Linked DNA regions of Xenopus tropicalis. The protein of the gene in region 1 binds, or shares a complex with, the protein of each later gene. Links are inferred from orthologs where the notes say so. Each region holds a gene or a part of one and is shown on either strand. Other genes may lie near its edges.

Region 1 (5,364 bases):
GCTACATTGCCCATATACCCCCACCCTATAAATGCCCCCATGCCTATAAGTGTACCCGTTACCTTGGTGACCTTTGGGGAAGCTGAATGAAGCCAGAGTAGAAGCCATGATGGATAACACTTAATGTCACTGCTGCAAAACCCCGCCCCCCATTATGCCCCCCCCCCCCCCGGTTACCCTATCCAAGGGTTAGTGTCACTGAGGGGCCATTACTGTACGCTGTACTTACTAAAGGGGAAGATGAACCACTGATGACACCCCTCTGGGCTGCCCAGCTTTGGGGGTAACTTTGCAGTGGTAGCCAAGTTGATCATTTTGACACAATTGCCCCCTCCCCAAATTCCGCAAAATCTGCCCAAACCCCAGGGGTATCTACATCCCTCCCCCCATGGATCTAATTAATCCTTGCACAGGTTACCCAAAGGTCCCATTATAATTGCCCCCTTTGGTGTCACTTGGATGTCATTACCAACAAGCACATGTATGCCCCACTAGGGGTAACTAGAGAACACTGGGGCCCCATAATATGGACCCCCCCCCCCGGTACCTTGTAAACATACAGCAACTGTCACCCAGTCCCAGATAACTTCACACGTGATGTCAACGCCTTCAGTGCCACGTCCCACCCTGCCCCCTGGGGTATTAGTAAGGATGTTGTGACCCCCGGGGTGGCACCAATAGTGCTGCTGTGGGTAAGCACTTCCCCAATATAACCGTGCCCCTCTGAAAGGGTAAAATTTGACGATGTACAAACTATTACCCCCACTACTGGAACTGGGGTACCTTTATATAGCGCTCGCCACTCAAACCCCTGGGGTAACGGGGCTACTGATGCCCCTTAGCACAACCGCCCCCCAGGAACAAAATATAATGCTGCTGCAGATACTCCGCCAATCTAACTGTCCAACAAAGGGGTAGATTTTTGGATAAATGCCCTGGGGTATATTGGAAGACATTTCTGTAGATACCCCTAGCCCATACATATAGGTTTGTTTTAGTTGCCCTACATACCCCCCTAATCACTTCCCCAGGGTAATTAACACACTCCTGCACATAGGGGGTACACTGATGGGGCAGGTTTGGGTACCCCCAGTTTAAGTGCCACCCTTGTGTGTAGGTTTGCTATTGTTGCCCTACATACCCCCCTAATCACTTCCCCAGGGTAATTAACACACTCCTGCACATAGGGGGTACACTGATGGGGCAGGTTTAAGTAAACCCAGTTTAAGTGCCACCCATGTGGGTAGGTTTGCTATCGTTGCCCCTCATACCCCCCTAATCACTTCCCCGGGGTAATTAACACATTCCTGCACATGGGGGGGGGTACTCTGATGGGGCAGATTTAGTTACCCCCAGTTTAAGTGCCACCCCTGTGGGTGTTTGCTATAGTTGCCCTATATACCCCTAAAATCACTTCCCCGGGGTAATTAACACATTCCTGCACATACCCACCTCACATACGGGGGCAATCTGATGGGGCAGGTTTGCTATTGCTGCCCTACATACCCCCCTATTCACTTTCCCGGAGAAATTAACACATTCTGCATGCGGGGGGGGGGGGGGAGCAATTAGGTACCCCCAGTTTAAGTGCCACCCCTGTGTAGGTTTGCTATAGTTGCCCTACATACCCCCCCTAATCACTTCCCCAGGGTAATTAACTCATTCCTGCACATAGGGGGGCACTCTGCTGGGGCAGGTTTAGTTACCCCCAGTTTAAGTGCCACCCCCATGGGTAGGTTTGCTATAGTTGCCCTACATGGGGGTATGTAGGGCTAGTCACGTCCCCAGGGTAATTAACACATTCCTGCACATGGGGGGGTATCCTGCTGGGGCAGGTTTAGTTACCCCCAGTTCAAGTGCCCCCCATGTGGGTAGGTTTGCTATAATTGCCCTACATACCCCCCTAATCACTTCCCTGGGGTAATTAACCCATTCCTGCACATGGGGGGGGTATCCTGCTGGGGCAGGTTTAGTTACCCCCAGTTTAAGTGCCCCCCCTGTGCGTAGGTTTGCTATAGTTGCCCTACATACCCCCCTAATCACATCCCCGGGGTAATTAATCCATTCCTACACATGGGGGGGGGGGTATCCTGCTGGGGCAGGTTTAGTTACCCCCAGTTTAAGTGCCCCCCCTGTGGGTAGGCTTGCTATAATTGCCCTACATACCCCCCTAATCCCTTCCCCGGGGTAATTAACCCATTCCTACACATGGGGGGGTATCCTGCTGGGGCAGGTTTAGTTACCCCCAGTTTAAGTGCCCCCCCTGTGGGTAGGTTTGCTATAATTGCCCTACATACCCCCCTAATCCCTTCCCCGGGGTAATTAACCCATTCCTACACATGAGGGGGGGGGGGTATCCTGCTGGGGCAGGTTTAGTTACCCCCAGTGGGTAACTAGTGACACAATTGCCCCGGGCCGGGTACCTTTGATGACGTTGCTGTAGATGGTTGCCCGGAACTCCTCCTTGGCCCGCAGGTCGAAGTCCTGCCCGTGGATGATGCGCATCTGCTTGAGGAAGGTGGACTTGCCGCTCTCCCCGGCCCCCAGCAGCAGGATCTTCACCAGGCGCTTGACGTAGGTTTTCTCCCGGGAGAGGCAGCGATCGATCTCCTTGGACTTGCGCTGCTGCTCGGCCTCCCGGCTGGTGAGCACACAGTTGGGGAAGCACACGGACAGCACGGAGCGGGACGGCAGGAAGTCCGCCATCTTACACACACTCGCCCTGGCTCACTCCTGCCTCATCGGCGGCCCTGGGACGGGGGAGCGGTCCTGGCGGTGCGTGCGCGGGAGCGGCGCTGGGTGGGTACGTGCGCGCCCCCGACTCCTTTCGCTCTGAGTGGAAGGCGGGAACGCGCGGTTCCTTCCGTTCGCTAAGGCGCCGGTGTGTGAGGCAGAGAAAGCGGCTATCGTTTCTCTAGGGTTCCGCCGCGCTGGGAAACGTCTCGTCTACACCGAGCAACGCGGGAACTGGGGGCGCGGCCCGAACCCGGCAACACCATCCGCCATCTTGCAACTCTTCCTCACGTGATGCTTCCTTTGCCCTTCTACTGGCTAGCGCACCTCGTCATGTGATCCTCCTTCTGCAATTCTATTGGCTGCCAGACACTTCGCTCTCTAGACTTGCTCCATCTTGCTGAGGGGCTTCTGTTCTGTGGTGTCAATTGCCCCTCATTCTGTGGCAGGATACCCCTTCTGTAGGCTGCCTGAGAAATTACTCTCCCCTATAAAAGCCTCAGCTTACTGAAGAGATGAGAGGCCAAAGTAATACCTCTATATTTTATTATTATTTATATATAATATTCAGTTTGGTCATTTTGCCCTTCTACTTGCAGTCTGGCGGCTATCGCACCTCATCATGTGATTCTCCTTCTGCAATTCTATTGGCTGCCAGGAAGTTTGCTCTCTAGACTTGCTCCATCTTGCTGAGGGGCTTGTGTAGTGTCAAATGCCCCTCATTCTGTATATAGATGTATATATATATATATATATAAAGTGCCATGTGGTATGAGACACAGTAGGAAGGAGGTCCCTGCCCCGTAGCGCTTACAATCTAAGTAATTATATAACCCATTATTGTACTGCGCTATGGAATATGTTGGCGCTTTATAAATACATGTTATTAATAATGACTAGGGATGCAGCAAACCCACTTTTTTGGGTTCGGCCGAACCCCCAAACCCACCCCGACGGATTCTACTGAATCTCAAACCAAATCCGGGATTCGGCGCAGCCCTAATAATAACTGGTTATGTCCATGCAAGGGAATTTCATGTTAACCATTTGCACTCATTATTGCTAAGGGGGTTGGTACCGTAAAGGAGTTGCCCACCTTTGAGTTACTTTTAGTATGACGTAGAGAGTAACATTCTGAGACAATTTGCAATTGGTCTTCATTTTTTATTACTTGTAGATTTTTAATTATTTCAGGTTTTTTGTTCGGCAGCTTGCAGTTTCAGCAGCTATTTGGTTTCTAAGACTCAAATCACCTTAGCAACCAGGGAGTGGTTCGAATGAGAGACAGGTATATTAATAGGAGAGGGGCTGAAAAGAAGAATAAGTGATATAAAGTAACAATAACAATAAAACTGGAGCCTCACAGAGCAATAGGGTTTGGCTGCCGGGGTCAGTGACCCCCATTTGAAAGCTGCAAAGAGGCAGAGGAAAAAGGCAAATAATTCAAAAACAAAAAATGAAGACCAGTTGAAAAGTTGCTTAGAATTAGCAATTCTATAACATACTTAAAGGTGAACCACCCCTTTAAAGGAATATATAGCCAACCTTCTGTTTAATCATGGGGACTGCAGCCACCATTACTATCCTATACCTGGCTATATGGTGCATTCTGATTGGCTACTAGAAATAAGGCACATATTTAAGCCCTTGTCATGCTGGAGATGCCAAGTAATATCGCCCTTTTTAAGTTGTTCTGAAAAGCCCTGAAACATGGTCGCCTCGCTGTTACACAATAGGGTGGGGGTTCTTCTATTACTCTCCAGCCAATCACACACGGGCTAACAACTATTTGCTCAAGTATACAGGGAAATACACAGTACATAGAGCCTGCTTTATAGGCCATATATATATATATAATTACAGTAGGAAGTAAAACCTGCTTATACAAGGGAAGTCAGCGTGTCATTAGTGCTGCTAATTAGAGCAAGGGGCCCCGAGCCCCGTCCTACAGTCTGTGCCTGCTTAGGGAACACGGATATGAGAATACAGTTGGGGTTAGGGTGGTTAACCATTTGGTTGCTGGGGGAAACACAAAGTAAATAAACATAGAATGGGCGCTGGTCTTTGATGTGGGAGTTACGTTGGCTGTAGAGCGTCACACCAGGAAATTCTAGTCTTAAAGGGGTTGTTCACTTTCACTTCCACGTTAACCTTTACTATGATGCAGAGAGGGATATTCTGAGACAAATTGCTACTGGTCTTCATTTTTTATTATGTGTAGTTTTTTAGTTATTTCATTTTCGGTTCAGCAGCTCTGCAGTTTGGCGTTATAACAGCTATCTGGTTGCTAGGGTCCACACAACCTTAGCAACCAGGGAGTGGTTTGAATGAGAGACAGCTATATGAATAGGAGAGGGACTGAATAGAAAAAATTCATTAAAAGTAACGGTAACAATGAAACTGGAGCCCCCATGGACACGCCCACCCTTCATTTGAAACACAGACAGGGACCTGAGAGGATCTATAGGGAGCTCCAATAAAGGGGCAATTTAATAAGCTCCACGTGCCGTGGCTCTCAGCGATACTCATTCTATAACAAGATCTGATCAGGTTTTGCTTTCTAGGAAAGTTACACAGAGAGATTGGCGGGCGTGCCGTGCCGTGCCTGGAATGTGCCCAGTGTAACCCGAT
Region 2 (5,364 bases), on another chromosome or scaffold:
TACCATCCCCACCTCCTCTCCTTCCCCACATCCCCTACCATTACCACCTCGTTCTCCCCAAGCTCTCCTTTCCTTTCCCATTGCCCATGCCACTACCCCTCCTACAACTTTTGCCACTTCACCTCGAGCACCAGGACATGCCAAGCAATAAAGGGCAGGATCTGCCAGACAGTTCAATGTGGCCAGTGCCAATGATGCATGGTATGCTGGGAACAGTCTCTCCTCGAGTGCACACCCTCCACCTGCATCGACTGAACCCCCACCCACCAGAAACACCAAGCTGCGTAAAAGCAGCAAAGCATGGTAGGGCCCATAGCAAAGTAGTGCTACACATGGAAGCCCTAAAGCTAGTCGCCGCACCCTTCTTCGTTCCCTTTGCTCACAGGATGCGCTACCCCTTAATGCTCGTAGGAGACCAGCGTAGCACAGCATCATGACCCCCCAGGGCAGCAAAAATCCAGCCAAAACCCTCCCTACATTGGCTAAGGCAGCCCCTCTTCCAGAAAGAGGGTAGCTCTCATAGCAAAATGTGTGGTTGTAGCGGTCTCGGTGGATAGCTTCACCCAATAGTGGTGGAGCGTTGGCTGCCAACTCAAGCATCCATATCAGTGCCGAGACAGCAGCAGCAGAGCGAATGGGTCTTGCACCTGGGAACCTCAAAGGATGTGCCACTGCCAGGTAACGGTCAGCAGAAACACAAGAGAGAAAAGCTGCACCAACATACAAGTTAGTGTAGAAAACAAAGCCGAATAAGCGACAGGCACCAGGGCCATATCCCCACACATCTCTTCGAAGGTAGTAGTCCGTCCAGGGAGGAAGAGCGCAAATAAGTAGAAGGTCAGAGAGAGAAAGGTTGAGTAAGTAGACACCAAGTTCTCTTCCTTTTCGCACCTGAAGCCAAGCTGCCCAAAGGGCTAGTAGGTTTGCTGGCAAGCCCAACGTGAAAACCAAAGCATAGAGTGATGGAGGAAGAACACTGTCCAGACCAGAGTCTACATTGCAGGCATCTGGGGTGAAGTTAGACATGGCAAGTAAGGTGAAAGAGGAGAAAAATGTCCAAGAGAGAGCGTTCAGTATTTCTTCTTCTGTTATTTCCTTTACTGTTTTCTGTTCTGTCTTCACTGTCTTTTTCGTTTGCTTTCTCTTGTTCACTCCTTACTTCCCTGCCTCTGGGGGGTGCGGAGTAGTATAGCTGCTTAGTTGAAATGCACATTTTGGCACATGACTTCTCCTTCTGATAACACTAAACACAGTGAATAGTCTGGAGTAAAAACAAAATACATCTATAAGTAGTTTGGTCTTGTGTATAACAATATAATTATTTAGGGCTGTAACGGAAACTGGTGAAATAATACTTTGTAGTGGGTGTTGTAGTGGTTAAGCGACAGGTAACTTTGCCATCTGGGTGTGTGTATTACACCAGGTGTATTATAGCAGGAGTAGTGATAGGAGCGGCACCAACTACTTGCAAAAGTGATTTAGTAAAGAGGAACAAGTTGAATGGAGTGTCAGTGTATGAACACTGGTTAATGGATTTGAACTAAATATTGAGAATGTAATTAAACAAGCCTGTTTTTGTGCACAACATGTTATGAAAGTTGCAGCTTTTATGTTGTGTTGTGCTTACTATAAATAACCACAACTGTAACTGTGCAATAGCAAAATAAAATATCATATGGATGCAGTGGACTAACAGATTCCTGTGTTGTAATGTGAAAAGGTTCAAGTTTGAGGGAATTGAGTGTAAGAGTATGACATATGACATATGAAATATGAATTAGTAATATAACTTTTTTCTATATAGTAGTACAGATTTGACGGGGGAGCACTAACCTATCTTTGACAGTTAGGTGCCTTCTTGTAGAATGTGCTAATTATTGTTAGCAGTGTATGAGGTTAATACTGTAAAGGAGGTAGCTGTATTATTAATACAAGCAAGACAGTTGTGGGATTTTAGATTAATCATAGGATGAAAAACTTAGTATGTGAAGCCAATTTAGGTATACTGATTGTATACTCAAAAGATTGCTTCTGTCAGCTAGCCTGTGGTCTTGGTTATTCTGTCTAGACTCAGTGTCTTAAGAGAGTGCTCACCTCTGGTTTTCTCTGCGATACCTCATTACCATCCGTCATGGGAGAGAGGGAGAAAGAGAATGAGTGTGATAGAGGAGGCTAGATACTAGAAGAGAGTAGTACGGGGGAGGAAGAACTAGGATAGAGAGTAGAGTGTCAGTGACTAATTGAGTGTCCCTGTGCCATATAAATATTTACATACCGAGCAAGATTAGAGTGTGAATCAAAAGAGAGAGAGTGCATGCAGGGAACACAGAGCAGAGGGGAGAGGAGAGCTGGAAGGAGTGTGTGCTGTATTTTAAGGACAAAATAAAGAATTATAGTTAGCAAGAAAGTGAGTGCAGACTTATTACAGAGTAAAGAAGGAGGAGTGAGTAGTAATTCCAGAGAGAAACCAGCCAAGGTCTGGTGAAAAGACAGGAGTTGTAGTTTACTACCAGCTGGAGAGCCCAGATTGGCCATCCCTAAATATGAACAAAACAAATACATACTATATCTATTTTAGTAATGCTAAAAAAAAAAGCAGAGGGTGCCTTTATTAGTTTACTCTCCTCTACTCTACTATGTGAGTATTTTTGCAATATAAAAACACTCACCTTTCTTGGAGTGGGAGGAAACTAATGGCTTAATTTGCAGAGTAGTCTGTATCATGCCTGACCTTGCCTGAAGTTCTTGAATTACTCTCTTTAGTTTGCAGCACACTTTCTGTAGCTTGCAGAGCTCTAGCTGTACTGAGCACAGTACATGGTGTGCATGGAAGAGCCGGCACAGAGGTTTGTCTTGTAGATAGGCAGCAGACTCAAGGGGCTGGGCTAAAGATTAACCCTGCTGAGTAGAAATCAGTGAAGAGCAAAGTGTGTACAAGACATTAAACTACCTATGCTGAACCTCATTGTATATAGTTCTTGATTCTGTGAAGAGATGTCAACTAGCCTCATGTCATTAGTGTGGTAATAATCCATTCCGGGCATTTTTGAGAATGTAATGTATCTAATTTACCATCTCTGAATGAGGTATACACTAACATAAGTTTACTGCCCATGACAAACCAGTGGAACCACTGTCAGCCACTATCAGCCTTTTCCTCTTCAATAAAGTTTGAATGAGTTTGGCTTTAACCTACCATTTTAAATACCCTGTTTCATATCCTTTTATTAAAAAGTGTGATGGAACCCACCTATGAGATCTAAGCAGTGAGCCCATCAGTGTCATAAAATGGCAATGTCTATATTTACTATAATGTTTTATGTGTTTACAGGGCCGGATTTGTCTTCTGGGGGCCCCTAGGCCGCCCCCGTTGATCGCCCCCCCCCCATGCGCAAACAACCGCTCGCCCATGCGCATACATTTAAAGTCCCATACAAAGCAGTGGGGAGAAGTTCCCACTGCTCCGTATTGAAAAAAACTTTAAAAATTCCGTTGCGGCGGGGCGGCATGCCGCCCCTACATTTCTGCCGCCCTAGGCCCGGGCCTTTGTGGCCTCTCCACAAATCCGGGCCTGTGTGTTTAACTTAGTATTCTACTCTTGCGTAGTAACCTCTTCACTTTTGGTAAGTATCTATGCTATAAAGATATACTAATTATATAAAGCACTGTACTGTTACATAGGCAATCCATAAATAGAGTTGTGAAATAAAGCAAATCTGTGAAAGAGCTTGTATGGCTAGGTTTTATAATCTTGCTGGGACATGGTTTCTTATATCACATGGCTTCGGGTGCCAAAGTTCTTGTGTTCGAAATAAAGTCCAGGGTTCCCAAATTTCCTTGTGTATCTCAACTTTTATAACATTGCAGAGAGCTAATGCATTGAGTGAATATTTTTCTTGCTCCAGCCAAGTATGGGGCAAGCCAGTTCAAAGCTATCACCCAGTGGGTGGTTGCTATAACTCGTAATGCCAATTTGTTCTGTTTTAGAGAGTTTTGGAAGGCTTCAAATTTTTTAAGTTGTTTAGAGGCATTTATACCTTCTACGTTTTATGATCAGCATCTTAAGAACCAGGATAGTGTGCTGATCAGAAATCCCAATAAATATCATCTTCATGCAAAAGACAACCAGTTCTACCTCTGTACATGAGATTTCACACTTTCTGTACAAGCACAAGTCAAATATTGCCATTCTCCTATCTGCTTGATGTCAGATAGCAAAGTCAGCCTTTACCTTTGCTTCCTGTTTTACACTTTACATTCAAAGCCATACCAAATAATGCTACTTTTATGTGCACAGCATTAAACAGTCTAAATACATATGTACTGTTTAATATTTGCCCATCTTAACTATAGTAACTTTCTCCTTTTTCAAACTACACTTAACTGGTCCATTCTAAATGCTTCTCATAGACTCACCTAACTATTCCACAATTTAATCAATTGTGCTTCAATGCAGTTCACTATATGGATGCCCTATTTCTCTCAGATTTACTTTAATCATACCAATGGCTCACAACCCTTAAATGGTACTAACATTAAATATAAAAAAGAAAGTTTTTTATAGTCTTTAATCATGCCTGAAAATGTACATATTGACATAGTAGCTAAACTTAACAAAATACAGGTTTATCTAAGTTCAAACTTTTTACACACTGTATCTGCTTAATTTCTACTTGATCCAGAAAAAAGCAAACAAAAAAAATCTTTAGTTTGCCTCACAGGGAGAATACCTTCTTGATTCAAAATTGCAGTTCACCAGTTCATGAGATTGAATACGTGTACCATCGTACCCCTTCTCAGAAGTACACATTGTATCTACCACTACAACGGCTTCTGGAAGAGAATTCTGTAGCGTTACAGTTGTAGCAAATCACTATATGAAAGCTTGATCTGGTGCCCAAATACCTTGGTTTTTTTGTGACCAGCCATTGTAGCCATACTGAAACCTTAAACTGCCACACACTGCCAAATACTGTACATGTAGACTACTCATTGAAATAAACAGTATTGAGGTGAGAGGAGATAGGATATGCTAGCAGGAGTTCAAAGTATGCCGATATTGCCAGTCTAAATGCAGCTTAATACTGCATTACTGCTGGGGTTGAAAGATTGGGATAGAAAACAGATGGGAATGGGGGGTTCTGAAATGGAGCAGATAATCGAAGAAAAAATGGGGTGCATCAGAAAAGAAGTTAAAAACCAGGAAAGATGTTAAAGCCTATAGGACTTTGTACAATGAAAGTGGCATGAGCTAAAGAGAAAGGGTAAAATCACAAGGGAATTATGGTTAGGCAGAGTATGGGTGAAAAGGTGAAATGAGGGGACACTGAAGACAATTATAAAGGAGAAAAACAACATAATAAA

The links. The genes of interacting proteins can lie anywhere in the genome.
Region 2: the proteins of gna13 (region 1) and gpr4 are in contact, whole or in part, in a cryo-EM structure (PDB 9JHP), measured with the Homo sapiens proteins. The link is inferred for Xenopus tropicalis from reciprocal best matches to the Homo sapiens genes GNA13 and GPR4. Residues at the interface, in NP_006563.2 of Homo sapiens: Arg47, Pro341, Tyr343, Phe359, Lys363, Asp364, Ile366, Leu367, His368, Asn370, Leu371, Lys372, Gln373, Leu374, Met375, Leu376, Gln377; in NP_005273.1 of Homo sapiens: Gln45, Asn50, Arg115, Ala118, Val119, Ala120, Pro122, Leu123, Ala126, Ile204, Val208, Ser211, Val212, Ser213, Thr214, Glu218, Lys221, Ile222, Leu225, Asn290, Glu291, Gly292, Ala293.

Annotation. Positions count from the first base shown.
Region 1 is NC_030686.2:50,664,556-50,669,919, forward strand, and holds the start of gna13 (guanine nucleotide-binding protein subunit alpha-13), read right to left. Parts: upstream 2,992-5,364; 5' UTR 2,707-2,991; coding exon 2,424-2,706; intron 1-2,423. Other genes in the region: regulator of G-protein signaling 9, read left to right, coding at 3,249-3,261. UniProt on the Homo sapiens protein: Guanine nucleotide-binding proteins (G proteins) are involved as modulators or transducers in various transmembrane signaling systems.
Region 2 is NC_030684.2:70,519,122-70,524,485, reverse strand, and holds the start of gpr4 (G-protein coupled receptor 4), read right to left. Parts: upstream 2,940-5,364; 5' UTR 2,670-2,939; intron 2,603-2,669; exon of another isoform or gene 2,095-2,602; intron 1,262-2,094; 5' UTR 1,027-1,261; coding exon 1-1,026. UniProt on the Homo sapiens protein: Proton-sensing G-protein coupled receptor activated by extracellular pH, which is required to monitor pH changes and generate adaptive reactions. Activated by an optimal pH of 6.8-7.2.